Linked DNA regions of Nothobranchius furzeri. The protein of the gene in region 1 purifies or fractionates together with the protein of each later gene. This does not show direct contact. Links are inferred from orthologs where the notes say so. Each region holds a gene or a part of one and is shown on either strand. Other genes may lie near its edges.

Region 1 (7,916 bases):
AGCTGATAATTAAACTGAAGCAAACATCTTTACTGTGAACTAAATTTACTGGTTATCTTCATTCCTTTTACCGTCCTTTTTCTTTTGATTTTTCCTACTGGGAAGTTAGAATTTCAGAGGAGAAAGCGAACGCACCATTAGCTGATAACAATGGTGGCATAGGAAGCTAACATACCAAGCTAACGTTATCTTAAACAGTTTATTTAACTGCTGGAGCAGATTAAAACGATGATGCCTCACACTTAGATCGTTGTCACTGGTTTCATCTTCACCCATCACATTTAGTAAAGTGAAGCCAAACTTTAGAGCACGTTCATGTTCTTCTAGTCGGGAATTCGGAGTTCCGAGGAGAAAACCAACGCACCATTAGCGAAACGGAAGCTAACATATCAAGCTAATTATATTTACCTACGGGAGCAGATTAAGATGAGGATGTCTCACTTAGATCGTTGTCGCTGGTTTCATCATCACCCAGTTACCCATCACATTTAGTGAAGTGGACCCAAGCTTTAGCGTGCGTTCTTTCTACCATGCTGCTCTGTTTACAACTCGCTCGCAGCGAGCGACGACATAACGCTCTTGCGCATGCGCAGCTGTCTTGGCAAGTTCTCGTTATGATGGACAGGTACCGAAACGAGGCACAGTTTGAAACGACGTGAATCAGTGCTCGGTCGGTGCTATGGAATTCATCTTAGCTGTGTTCTTGCTGTGCGTTATTTCTAATTCCAAGTTGTCGTTCTTTTTTAAAACACAGAAACGGTTTTGTTACCTGTTATTGACGCTACAGTTTTGCCAACTGCTGCCGGCTTCTTCAGGCTGACGCTGAACGAGACGGCTCTCAGGCCTAGCTCCCGAGGTATTAAAAAATTGGAAGATGTAAGCGCGTTGCGCACCACACATACACACACACACACACACAGTGTGTCCCTGATTTACATGAGACAGGGGGTGGGGGTTGCAGCGCACCTTCAATCGCTGTGAAAGCAGGGAGAGGGGTGGCACAAAATCCCTGGCACAATTATTACATTAACTAATGGGACCTGTAAATATTGGTGGGGACAAATCAGTAAAAGAGGAGAGAGAGAAAACACAGCCGGTGCTACAGAAAGGTGAGAAAATAAGTGAAAACATGACAGGCACCAAGATTTGGACACATTTATGCCTTTTACAATGGTCTCGGTCTTTGCTGGTTTCTCCATTTTAAAAGTTAGTTAAAAAAGTCCCATTAGTTGTCACACACGCTGATAAGTGTGTGAAATTTGTTCTCCGCATTTGACCCATCCCCTGGGGGAGTGGTGAGCTGCAGACACAGCCACGCTCGGGAACCATTTGGTGGTTTAACCCCCCAATCCAACCCCTTATTGCTGAGTGTCAAGCAGGGAGGCCTTGGGTCCCATTTTTTTTTCAAAGTCTTTGGTATGACCCGACCAGGAATCGAACCCTGACCTCCCAGTCTCAGGGCGGACACTCTACCTCCACAGCACCTAGATCACCACGTAGTGCGCCAGTAAAAATGTGTTCAGACTGTGGTGCGCATATTTAACAAAGCTTCGAATCACTAAAAAAATGAATCGAAGAATGTAATCAATCGAACCATTCGATAATTTGTTCCAGCCCTACTGTAACAACTCAAAAGTTTCACAAACCCTCGCCTCCCTTTCCGGTCGGCTCACGGGTCCCCGGAAGAATGTAAAAATGAATGCAAGTCAACGGAGCTAAAAACGCTGTTTTCTAATTCCGCTTGTTATGTGCCATGGATTTCACATATGATGTCCGTGAATTTTAAATACGCATTTCGATACCAAGAACGCGCTTATTTTCAAACGGGGAGAAACACTATTTTAGGTTTTGTGTGACAATAAGTCCAGGACTACAAATGCGCTTCAAGAAAGTGACGTCATCAAGGCTAAATGGCTGGACGTTTAGCGAACTTCAAATTCTTCCTTCAGGAGAGAAAAACCACCATAAATCTGGCTATTTGGTAAGTAGCAGCTAAGCTAGGGGAGAGGAGATTCTGTGGTGACGTCACATATGCGACGTGTCGATGTCGGATTTGTAGTCGTGCTAATTACAAACTTTTACAAGCTGATAAATTTCAAAGTACGTGACTGGCGTGGTTGAAACACCCACCATTACTTTTCATTTAAATTCCAGTACTACATATGTGCGATCCAGGGTGCAAGGCAAAGCGGATTAGGAAATAGCTCTCTTAGCCCCGTTGCCTTGTTTTCATTTTTTCGTTCTTCCGGGAGCCCATGAGCTGACCGGAAAGGGAGGAGACTTAGGCTCCCTACTGGATGCCTTGCCAGGCTAGAGATGACTCACTTCATATTTGGAGTAACTATAAAAATTCTTTAGTGTTGTAAAAGGAAGCAACACTTCCAAACAGTATAAATATTAAATAAAATTAAAAATAAAATACGTAAAACAAAGCCGTTAAAGTTTTGCAAAAATAAATGTGGATAAACCGCACTAAACTTGTGTCAGTTTATAGTTGCCAAGTTATGTGGGTTGGGTTACAATGCATAGCTAAAGTATTCATATCTCTTGAATCTTTACACATTTTGACACCGAACCACGAACTTCAATGTTTTTTATTACGATGTTCTGTGATGGACCTAAACAAAAAAAAGCACTTAATTGTGAAGTGGAACGAAACTGAATCAGTGCGTTTACATGCAGCCAGTAACCCTTTTAAAACCCGAATATTCACAATAACCCGGTTCCGCACGGCCATGTAAACACCGCCAAAAACCCGGATATGCTCATAACCGTGTTTTTAAAAACCCGGTTACTACACCTGGGGTAACCCTTTTCTAACCCGAATGTTTGGTCGTGTAAACGCATACCGGGATATCCCCATCAAAGCGTGTGTTCTGTGCATGCTCTGTTCACAAGGAATCTTGGTCTTTTGAGTAGCGAGACGTCTTGTATGCACCAGAACACCGGAAGTAAACAACAAGTTGGGAGCAACATGGCGAGTCGCGGCACAGCACCACACTTTGAGTGATGAGGAAACTAAAGCGCAAACAAATGCGGTCACTATCTCTTCTGAACTGGGAAACATGTTGTTGTTTTCACGGATACCGGAACAAGAAGAACAAGAATGCTTGTAAACGGGTTATTCTGATCAACTCAGAAACCCGAATACCGACCTTAACCCGATCATAACCCGGATATTGGCTGCATGTAAACGTAGTCAATGATCCATCCATCCATCCATTGTCTGAACCTGCTTTGTCCACGTAGGGTTGCGGGGGGCTGGTGCCTATCTCCAGCGGTCAATGGGCAATCAGGCGGGGTACACCCTGGACAGAGTACCAGTCCATCACAGGGCAACACAGAGACACACAGGACAAACAATCATGCGCGCACACACACACCTAAGGACAGTTTAGACAGACCAATTAACCTAACAGTCAGGTCTTTGGACGTGCACGTCTTTTGAACCCAGAGAGAACCCACGCATGCACAGGGAGAACATGCAGACTCCATGCAGAAAGATCCCAGGCTGGGAAGCGAACCCAGGACCTTCTTGCTGCAAGGCAACAGCTCTAACCACTGCGCCACAGCCCAAAACCGAAAAATGGCTCTCAGAAATGTATGCAAATAAAAATCTGAGCAGCAGCCCAGTGGTGAACTGTAATGATGTGTTGTCCCTTTACATGATTAATGGAAAGTCACTCAGATCCCATCGCCCTCTGTAGCCAGAATACCACAACTTCAGTGTGGCAGGCCCCTGTTTTAGCTGACAAACCTGGTGCTGCAGTCTGCTTCCAGCACGTTTCCTGGATGTTTTAGATCATAAACAGATCTGACATGTTTGATTTAGTAACGAATCCCTTCTGTGGACACTAATCACGGCTGCGGAGACATTTCACACCAAGAGGATTTAAGTTTTGCTTTTGGTTCTACTAAACAGGCACTAGGGGTGCTAAAAACGAGGCAAAACCGCCTAAAATTGATTTAATGCAAGTTTGTAAATTGGTCAATAATTACATAATTTCTGTTGATTAATTAAAACAACAAAAAGTGAGGAGTTGTTTGAGAGCCAAAAGAGCCGGTTCATTTTAGTGAACCGAGCCATAAGAGCCGGTTCTCTTAAACGAGCCGGAGTTCCCACCAGTGGACTGCGGTGTGGTGTACTCACAGGTTCGTTCAGCTCTACCGTCGCGGTGTTTCCTTCTCCATCGGAGACGGTGAACGTTTTCCCATTGGGGTGAACCTGTGGAACAACAGATCATCAACCGAACGGTTTACGTGAAAACACCGTGACTAAAGATGCACGCAGGGTAATCTGACCTGTCCGACTCGACCAACGAAGCAAACCGGTCGGTTGATGTGCTGCGACAGCATAGAACAGTTAATTCTGGGCTTTGGGACGTCCACGATACTTGCCATCTTCGCGGCTTGACTTATTGGCGACAGGAAGCTCAAGAGACAACGCGGGAAACTATATGGATGCTGTTTGTAGTATTAGAGTAGCCCGCGCGGGCGGAGCTACCACGCTCACAGTGTAATAGCACGAATGCTTCAACGACGGCTTACTTTTACTTGGTTAATAAACCAAGCGCGCATACGGATTCTTACGACATATCCGCTGCACTCCGGGATTTCATTCCCCAGAAACGACAGTAAACAGTTCCGCTACACTACAATCGAGTGGCACCGAATTAGCTAGAACATCATCCAGAGGAGCCATGATCTAACAGCGGACTCATACACTTCACACCACGGTAAGCGCGTCACGTAATCGCTTTTTCACATGTAACCGATCGAAGAACTTTAAAGTAAACCAAGTTAAATGTTTAGCTTGGCGTTTTTGAAAGCAAAGTCCATATCCGTATGCTTCCGTCCAGAAGCTCTTCAAATGCATCACCGTCTTAACTTCTGCTGTTGGTCTGACGTTGTGTTTTTCTGTTTGTTGAAGTAAAATCATGTTAAACTTTTTCGGACTACGTAAAGACTCAAAGAAGTCAGCAGCCGAGAAGGACGTTGATGGAGGCTTTGTCGTCGTTGGTAAGAGCGATCATGATTGTTCTGTTGAAAATGTGTTCTGTTCATTGATATTGAGCTAGATTAATATTATTGTTTCTGTTTGTACACCTGCTTTTTTGTCATGCTCAGAATTCAACTGTAAATATTGATTCTTATGTAAGCCTGTAAGCTTCATTGGTTAAATAAAACTTGTTAAAAAAGTGTTCTGTTCACAAAGGTTCCTCCATCACTTCCGCTGTTTTCCCTCCCAGTGTGTGACACGGATGGGGCGATGAGAACTAAATGTGGAATATGCGGAAAATAAGGTCTAGGCTCTAGAGTCAGCCAGAGGAAACCGCAAACATTAACTTCCTGTTTCAATATGAAGTCTATCTAACTCAACAGATTTACTGCTACCACAGTGTCTATTAACTCTAGCTCTACAGTTTGAGTCAACACTGTTCTGGTGGTTTTAGACAGGCGGGGTTTACAGATCTGGTCATCAGAACCCAGAAACAGGAAGAGGCTCCAAGTTTGTTTTGATGTGAGGCAGCTGTGTGTGACGCAGGATCTGTGCTGCTGGATAATGCTACTCAGGTCAGTCTGATGAAAAGAAAAATAAAATGCTCAGGAACGACTGCATCCAGTCGAGGTGGAAAAGTGTTTTCCAGACATCGGCGAGTACATTCTGCATCCAGATCAGTGAGAGAGTACCAGCAGAGTTTCTTTCTGGCAGAAACAGCAAATTGTATTGTTATGATTTAACAGTTTGTCAGTTTGTGCAGCAAACACATTGGAAGGAGAAAAAAACAACAACAAACATTTGAGGAGAACCATGTCAGATGACACACCCCTGAGCAGGTGCCTAAAACAGCTTTGTGCTCAGCCTAAGCTTAAAATGGATCTGAGCTTGAACCAACAATAAATGACATTTAGAGGAATTCTAGTTCTGTTCTCACAGATTATAAAACGCTAATCAGTACAGCACTTCTCAGTGTTGTGTCCACCTTGGAACTGGGAGATTGGGGTTCAAATCCCAGTCGGGTCCTATCAAAGGCTTTATAAATGGAACACAATGCCTCCCTGCTTGACACTCAGCTTTAAGAGCTTGGATTGGGGGTTAAACCACCATATAGTTCCTGAGCGCAGCCACAGCTGCAGCTCGCCGCTCCCCACAGGGATGGGTCAAATGTGGAGATGAATTTCACCAGTGTGTGATGACTAATGGGACTTTGACTTCAAAAATCATCGACACCAAGTTTTATAAAAGAGGCCCCAGCTCCTGATCTGACGACCCTTTACACCTCTACGTGGCTTTTATTGTAATTACTTGATATTCTGGTTGTGGATAGAATGTGTCTTCTGTTTCCATCTTTTAATCTGTAGGAGAAACAGCAGAAGAACGGAGGAGGAGGATGCCTCCCAAGAGCGTCACACAGCCCTCTACTAATGTCATCGTGCAGCCATCAAAGGTGAGCTGCTCAAGGTCCATGCGCTGTGATGAATGTTAGTCCTGCAGCTTATCTCTCAGAGGAGAGCTGCACATTAGTAACCAAGTCATCTAATGAGCTTTGAAAGAAAAGCGTCTGGACTTCTTTGAGTTGCTTGAAGACGTTTCACCTCTCATCCGAGGGGCTTCTTCAGTTCTAAGGTCAAATGGTGGAGAGTCCCAGATTTAAACCCAGTGGGAGTTTCCCCCCGGAAGAGGGAACAAAAGACCCCCTGATGATCTTCTACATAAACACATGAGCCAAGGTGTGAGGGTGGGTGTGGGTCCTGTTCAGCCAGAGTTTCGGGTGAGCTCATTGTGAAACCTGGCCCCACCCTATCATGTGAATTCCTGAGGTCAGATGGCCCAGGATATGCATGGGCATTGAGGCATCTGGGAAGGGATCTCAAAACTGGATTATAGATGGCAGACAGTTGGTGTCGTAAACCACCACCTCTGTTCAAAGATGGTTGCTCACAGTGGACATAAATGGCTTCCTTTACTCCTCTTTCAAACCATCTGTCCTCTCTGTCCAAAATGTGAACGTTGGCATCCTCGAAAGAGTGACCTTTGTCCTTTAGATGCAAATGAACTGCTGAGTCCTGTCCCGTGGAGGTGGCTCTTCTATGTTGTGCCATGCGCTTGTGAAGTGGCTGTTTGGTTTCTCCGATGTAGAGGTCTGGGCATTCCTCGCTGCACTGTACAGCATACACCACATTGTTCCGTTTGTGTTTAGGAGTTTTGTCTTTCGGGTGAACCAGTTTCTGTCTGAGTGTGTTGCTGGGCGTCTTCAAGCAACTCAAAGAAGTCCAGACGCTTTTCTTTCAAAGCTCATTAGACTACAATGACCTAGATGACTGAGAACCTTAAACCAAGTCATCCTCAGCCAAGTGGGAACCTGCAGTAGTCAAAAGTCCCTTTGGAGAATCATTCCTGCTTCTGGATTAATTTTTTAAATTATGTCATAATGTCTTCCCCCAGCCGTCCTGTCCCTCACCAACTCAGCCCAGTGATGGAATGCTTCCTGCACCTGTTACCCACCCAGCACCAGGACATGGACCTCCAGCCTCCCAGGCCGCTCCAACCCTCCCGGATCTCCTCGGAGATGTCCCCTTCACATTGGCTCCTCATGTGCTCGCCCTACAGGCAGGATTCCCCGTGGTTCCTGATGTGCTGATGTCTCGTGACATGAACTCGAACCTGACTAGTTTTCATTACGATTTCACTTTAGAGAACTCTGTGATTCATAGCAGCTAGTAGGTTTGGCGTTGGGACAGATCCTGGTGAGCTTTAAAAGGTTTCACTGGTTCTGGACCACATGACCAGTTGGCTGTTTCACTAAAGAAAACATGAAAAGGTAAATAATTAACCTGTGAACAAATAAAACTCATAAAATTAATGATAAACTGTAAATAATAGCAAATGCACTCAGTTAGATCTGCTTAAAGTA
Region 2 (6,062 bases), on another chromosome or scaffold:
GACCTTTGAGCATGGGATTCCTGAAAATGCTTCCCTGCTGGAGTTTTATCCCCGTGGGGCTCCACCTGAGGCCATGCCGATCATCTTGTGGAACCGGACGAACCCTGAAACAAGCGACGCTGGTCGGGGGCGGCTGCTGCGAGGAGGGAGGGTCTGGTTGGCGGAGAAAGTCACGCAGGCGGATCAAGGCAACTACACCATAAAAGACGACGACGGGAACGTACTGTCTCGTAGCACCCTCTCAGTTCGTGGTGAGCTCCAGAGCTTTGAGAGGATTCTGTTTTTCGTTTTTTGGCAACAATAGGATGATAATTTTTTTCATCCTCTTTGTATCTGTTACTCTGTCATACCTCCATGTCTCCTCCATCACCCACTGCTGCTTTTGATCTGCATCCTAATGCAGGGCACTCCTTCAATATTTCTCGCTTCACCAAGGAGTCTCTAACCCTTCCCTTATTTCTCCCTCTCCATCACGCCCATCTCATTTTTACCCCAAGTCGAATTCCAGATGAGTCGTCCCTGGGCCCTTTCGACCCAAAGCCCCCCCGCGGCCCCGTGCAGCTGCTTCGCGAGGGCCACATAACGGACCACGACCTGCGCTACAGAGGAATCGTCTCTCTGAGCAGGAACGGATCCATCCATGAGGTCGTCATCATCAGACTCACATCAAGACATGACGGGCTGTACGAAGTCAGAGACGGGGATGGAAACCTCGTGTCTTCTACGTATTTACACATGATCGGTGAGCAGCGCTGCGCATTCACCTGGAAATTAACTTCCTGCTCAGTTGTGCAAAGTTTATCCAATTTCTGTCCCATCTGTCTTTCTGATCTCAGAAAAAAGGGGAGGGACGTGGCGAGCGCTCTTCAAGTCCATTTCTGTCCCATCTGGAATGTTTGTGTCGCTGGCCGGTTTCATCCTGTTTATGAAGCGCTACCCAAACTGCAGCCTGTCACAGATCATCACGGGCATCAGGACAAACCGCGCGGCGCCATCCAACCCTCCCAGGGTCAACATCCAGGTGAGGAGGACAGAACTCCACCGTGTGTAGCCCCGCCCACTTTTAGTCTCCTGCCATAGATTAAATGGTATTTCTGATTCTGAGCTTGCATCATGTGCAAATATGCATCTTTTAAATTAAATAGCCCTTTGGAATGCTGACGCACAGCAGGAAGAGCAAATCAAACCACAACATGTCCTATGACTGTTAGTAAAAGTGAAGTTAAAATTAATTTAGATGTATTTATAAAGCACTGTTTGGAAGATCAAAACTCCCAAAGAGCTGTAAATAAACACTCTTAATGATCCAGGAAATAAAATCTAAGTAAAAAAGCTGAGTTTTATTCTGTGTTTGTTACTGCAGAACTACAGTCAGACCCTTCAACAGCCTCCAGCCTACTATAGCCATCCCGAGCATCCTGTTACACCAAGAAAATGGACCCCAAGAGCCAGTCCTGCTCACTCTGTAAGGCTTATCATCGCTTGGGGGGGCTGGAACAGAGTTGAGTGTCTAAGCACATTGTTGTTGTGTACTTCCAGGGCTACACTCCTGTTCTGATGGAGACGGTGGGAGATGAAAACCAGGAACTGCAAAGACTGACAGCTGGTAGCTCCCCTCGTCATAATGTGACCACTGAGGTAAAACAGCAGAGTTGTGATGGATGGCAAGTTACGCGCTTTTTCAAATCCATTGCTGTCGCACCTCTCCAGCAGGAAAAACCTACAGAGGAAGAGGAAAATATTTCCTTTTCTGTTCCTGGAGCGTCAGACTGCCTCCATTCCTGCGAGGACTGTGTCCAGTTCCAGATCAAGAAAGACGGAGATGAGGAAAGGTGGAGCAAATCCAACAACTTATTTTCCGCGCTGCCTCTAGATACGGACACTTCTGAATCTTGCAGTGTTTACACATCAAATAAACTGGACTTTCTATAAAAACGGAGGCTAGGATGAGATGAGAAGTGAAGCTTGAGGCATGGAAATATTACAGTAGATGATTCTAAGCTGACATGAACAATCTCATGTGCACCAGTTTGCACACTTTTAATTCTTGGGTTTGTACTGAGTTTTGAACCACGGGTTGAGCGTTACCCTTCATGTCACACATTGCACTATGGTGCTCATGAAATCTCCTGCTGTTACCTACCTCCAGACCCTCAGGACCAACATGATCTGCACTGTCTTTGCCGGGTGTCTCAAGTGTTCATTGGCCTTCTATGATCCCTAGGTCTGCATAAACGTCAACATAGTTACTCTAAGGTTTGCAAGAGAAAATTATTAAAATGCCACATTATTATAGCATAAACTAAAGTGCATAATCATCCTGTTCATTCCTGACTGCTGCAAAAAATATTATAAATATCTGTCTTGCAGTTAAAGTTATTTTGCAGGTGTAGTGTTATTACCCTCTAGACAATTGTAGAAATGTAACCTATTATAGGGCAACAGCCTGTAAATCTGGGAACATATTATAGCATCACTAATGTAATTCATTATTGACTATCAGAAGGTTGTCTCTAAAACAATAAAATGTATATTTAACACAAACGCCTCATATTATCTATTCTTTGACTATAGAGAAATCTGCTTGAGCATGGGTCTGCATTCTTTACAATCCAAACGGCCGTTTTTCTCTCAGTCCATCCCAATAATTGTTCAGAGCCTCAACTGTTAGAGGACGTTCAGGAAAAACGCCATTTATGATAAAAATCTATGTTGGAGGTTTAACGTAGAGGAAAGTTATCTTCTTTTTTTTTTTTTTTTTTTTGCTCAGATGTCTTGACATTAATGGGAGAATTCTGAGATTAAAGCAAGAAATATTTGTGCCTTCTTCAATAAGGAACTATTAGATTTGCTGTCATTTAAAAATATCCAACATTTGTTTCCATTAGTCAATTTTAAAATGATAAAAAAAATACTTTGGCAAACGTAGAATGGAGATTTTTCTCTGGGATGTTGATATTTGTGGAAAATTATGTCAAATGGTAATTGTAGTTTCATTTTGATGTGGATATTCAATGTAGTTATTCCATAAAACCCGAAAAGCTGCTTTAACCAACAATTTTTAATATGTCTATGTTAAAAATGTGCTTTTTAAAATAATTTTTATCTAAAGAGCCACTTGCACTGCTGGTTGCAGACCCCTGTAAGATTTTCAAGAGTGCAGTGGTGTGTTTTAAGCGGTGGAGGGCAGTGCAGACTGAAATGAGTGCGGTTTGATTGTTGGCGGAAACCAGCGACGAAGAAAAAGGAAGCAGTTCCTTTATAGCGGCAATGAAAGGACAGCGTGCTATCTCCAGTTTGAACTAAATATAAGTGTTCACAAGCGGGGGGAAATTCAAGACGCCAAAAAACACAGTCTACGTTTAGGAGGGCACTGTTAGGACTGCGTTTGGAACATGTCTTTGGTTTGTGCAAGTAAGTGAAGATGAAAATTTGCAGGACGGCGCCTGTGAGTTAGCTCGGTATCATGCTAATGCTACAAGCTAATGAAGCTAACATTAGCGGCCACGCAAACCGTATTTAACTTCAGTTTCCCTCCATTCTCTTTTTTTTCTTTGTTTTTACTGAGTTGTGAGCGTTATGCGCCCTCTCCTTTTGTTTGTTTGTAGTTTGCAACGAGGTGCCGGAGCACCCGTGCATCTCCCCGGTGTCCAATCATGTGTTTGAGCGGAGGCTGATAGAGAAGTACATCGCCGAGAATGGGACGGACCCGATGAACGGACAGCCGCTGTCCGAGGAGCAGCTAGTGGACATCAAAGGTGAACTACACCCTCGATTTGACTTTATTTAAGTTTGATTAACTTGATATTTTTGGACACTACGAATGAATTAATGAGTAAACGACGAGTTTGAAATTCGCATTGTATTAAAGCCTGTTTAACATGATAAACATGAAATGCTGAGTTATTCACACTGAAGTGGTTGTTTGGGACAGATTATTTAACCTAAGGCTAACCGATTATTAATCCAGGCATCAAAAGGGATCAAAATTAAAAATACAGTTTATTATAATAAAGGTAAATAACTAAACTTTTTGTCTTGCGTCGTTTTTAACTGAAATGATCATGGCCATCTGATCTTTCATTTATTTTATTTTTAATTGAGTCGTAATTTTAAAATAATGGTTTTAATTTATTATTAGTAACACTCTGATAAGTCTGGGCCTTTCAATAAACTGTACCAGTTCAATCCAGTTGCACACTGAAATAACATATTTAACTTAAAAAGGTTTGACTGAATTTTTCCTGGTTTGGAAAATGTCTTCCCGCTTAGTGACCCACCCCATCAGACCAAAGGCGCCATCAGCAACAAGCATCCCAGCTATTCTCAAGTCTCTTCAAGATGAGTGGGTGAGTGATGGAAACGGTCAGGAGGACACTCGTCCACCTCACACCTGTGTGTTATTGTTGACTATTTAGAACAGGAATCACCCTTTTATTTTTCACACAACAGCTGCTATTTGAACAAAAATAAATCTGAAAACTCGTCAAACACATAGATCAACATATGACACTTTTACGTAACTTTTGAAGTAATTTTGGGGTTTGTAAGCTCAAGTATTAAAGACATTGCTGTCATTTCTAATAAATTAATTTCAAATCTCAGGAAGAGTTGTTTTTTTTATGCGTCCTACAGGATGCCGTCATGCTTCACAGCTTCACCTTGCGGCAGCAACTGCAGACTACTCGCCAGGAACTCTCTCACGCCCTTTATCAACACGACGCAGCCTGCAGAGTCATCGCTCGACTCAACAAGGAGGTCACGGCTGCAAGAGAAGGTCTGTATGTCCTAAGAAGACACATCTTGGTGTTTCTAAAATGTTAATAGCCACTTGGCGTGTTATTTCAAAGGTTTATTTGTTAAATGGGAACATAAGCACGTTTAAAATGTCCTAAATGTGTTTATTTTGTTTTTGCAGCTCTGGCCACACTTAAACCTCAAGCTGGACTGGTGACCCCTCAGGCCGCCCCCGCCTCTCAGCCTGCTGCAGCAGTGAGTGACCCATGCCTAACTGTTTTAACCCTCAGCTCTTGGTAGTTTTAGTCCTCTTGTATAAAATATTCACATTTGTATTGCAGGGTGCTGGTGGAGAGCCTATGGAGATCAGTGAACAGGTGGGAATGACTCCAGAGATCATCCAGAAGGTAAAACACTTTTTTTATGTCCACAGAATTTTATTATTTTATTATAAGCTCATATTTCATTTTATTTAAACAATTTAATCTGTTTGATCATTCCAGCTGCAAGACAAGGCTACTATTCTCACCACAGAGAGGAAAAAGGTTTGTAGCATTTTTTCCTTGTTATAGTTATAACTTCCAACGGAAGGTAAAGTTTTTATATCTTGTGATTGTGTGTGATTTAAAAAGTTCCTTGTGCTTCTGTAGAGGGGAAAAACTGTTCCAGAGGAGCTGGTTAGAGCCGAGGATCTCAGCAAGTACCGCCAAGTGGCCTCCCACGCTGTAAGTGCAGAACCAGGATGATGAAGATGGTCCTATAAACGACTGAATGTGCTTCATCTGGTGGACTTGTTTCCTGTTTGCTTCAGGGTCTTCACAGCGCCAGTGTGCCTGGTATTCTGTCCCTGGACGTGTGTCCCTCAGACACCAGCAAAGTGCTCACTGGTACTCTGAGCTTAACTCTGTCCTATTTGATTTGGCGTTGTGTCGAATCACCCGCTCGGGGCCGATTTAGTCCAACGCTGACTGTGTTGTCGTCCTCCAGGTGGAGCTGATAAGAGTGTGGTGGTGTTTGACAAGAACGAGGAGCAGATTGTGGCGACTCTTAAAGGCCACACCAAAAAGGTCACCTCTGTCATTTTCCATCCATCTCAGGTGAGTCTTTGTCCGTTGGGGGTCTTTTATTGATAACTGAAGGAACGTGCCAGGTGTGATCCTTCTCTCTGACGTGTTCTCCCCTCTAGTCTATGGTCTTCTCTGCCTCTCCTGATGCCACCATCCGTGTGTGGTCTGTTACCGGGGGCAACTGCATCCAGGTGGTGCGTGCCCACGAAGCCAGCGTCACCGGTCTGTCCCTTCATGCTACTGGAGACTACCTGCTCA

What was found. Proteins that work in one complex are often made in the same cells at the same time.
Region 2: the proteins of rpa3 (region 1) and prpf19 purify together in Homo sapiens (affinity purification with western blotting; 3 studies listed by BioGRID, with this or other methods). This does not show direct contact. The link is inferred for Nothobranchius furzeri from reciprocal best matches to the Homo sapiens genes RPA3 and PRPF19.

Annotation. Positions count from the first base shown.
Region 1 is NC_091751.1:24,166,112-24,174,027, reverse strand, and holds the start of rpa3 (replication protein A 14 kDa subunit), read right to left. Parts: upstream 4,467-7,916; 5' UTR 4,402-4,466; coding exon 4,303-4,401; intron 4,226-4,302; coding exon 4,151-4,225; intron 1-4,150. Other genes in the region: umad1 (UBAP1-MVB12-associated (UMA)-domain containing protein 1), read left to right, coding at 4,938-5,019, 6,364-6,449, 7,448-7,723. UniProt on the Homo sapiens protein: As part of the heterotrimeric replication protein A complex (RPA/RP-A), binds and stabilizes single-stranded DNA intermediates that form during DNA replication or upon DNA stress.
Region 2 is NC_091741.1:94,861,653-94,867,714, reverse strand, and holds the start of prpf19 (pre-mRNA-processing factor 19), read left to right. Parts: upstream 1-3,262; 5' UTR 3,263-3,395; coding exon 3,396-3,414; intron 3,415-3,608; coding exon 3,609-3,758; intron 3,759-4,272; coding exon 4,273-4,349; intron 4,350-4,635; coding exon 4,636-4,777; intron 4,778-4,918; coding exon 4,919-4,992; intron 4,993-5,078; coding exon 5,079-5,144; intron 5,145-5,240; coding exon 5,241-5,282; intron 5,283-5,387; coding exon 5,388-5,462; intron 5,463-5,548; coding exon 5,549-5,624; intron 5,625-5,724; coding exon 5,725-5,834; intron 5,835-5,923; coding exon 5,924-6,062. Other genes in the region: uncharacterized protein, read left to right, coding at 1-251, 404-742, 837-1,021, 1,364-1,465, 1,540-1,638, 1,711-1,932. UniProt on the Homo sapiens protein: Ubiquitin-protein ligase which is a core component of several complexes mainly involved pre-mRNA splicing and DNA repair. Required for pre-mRNA splicing as component of the spliceosome.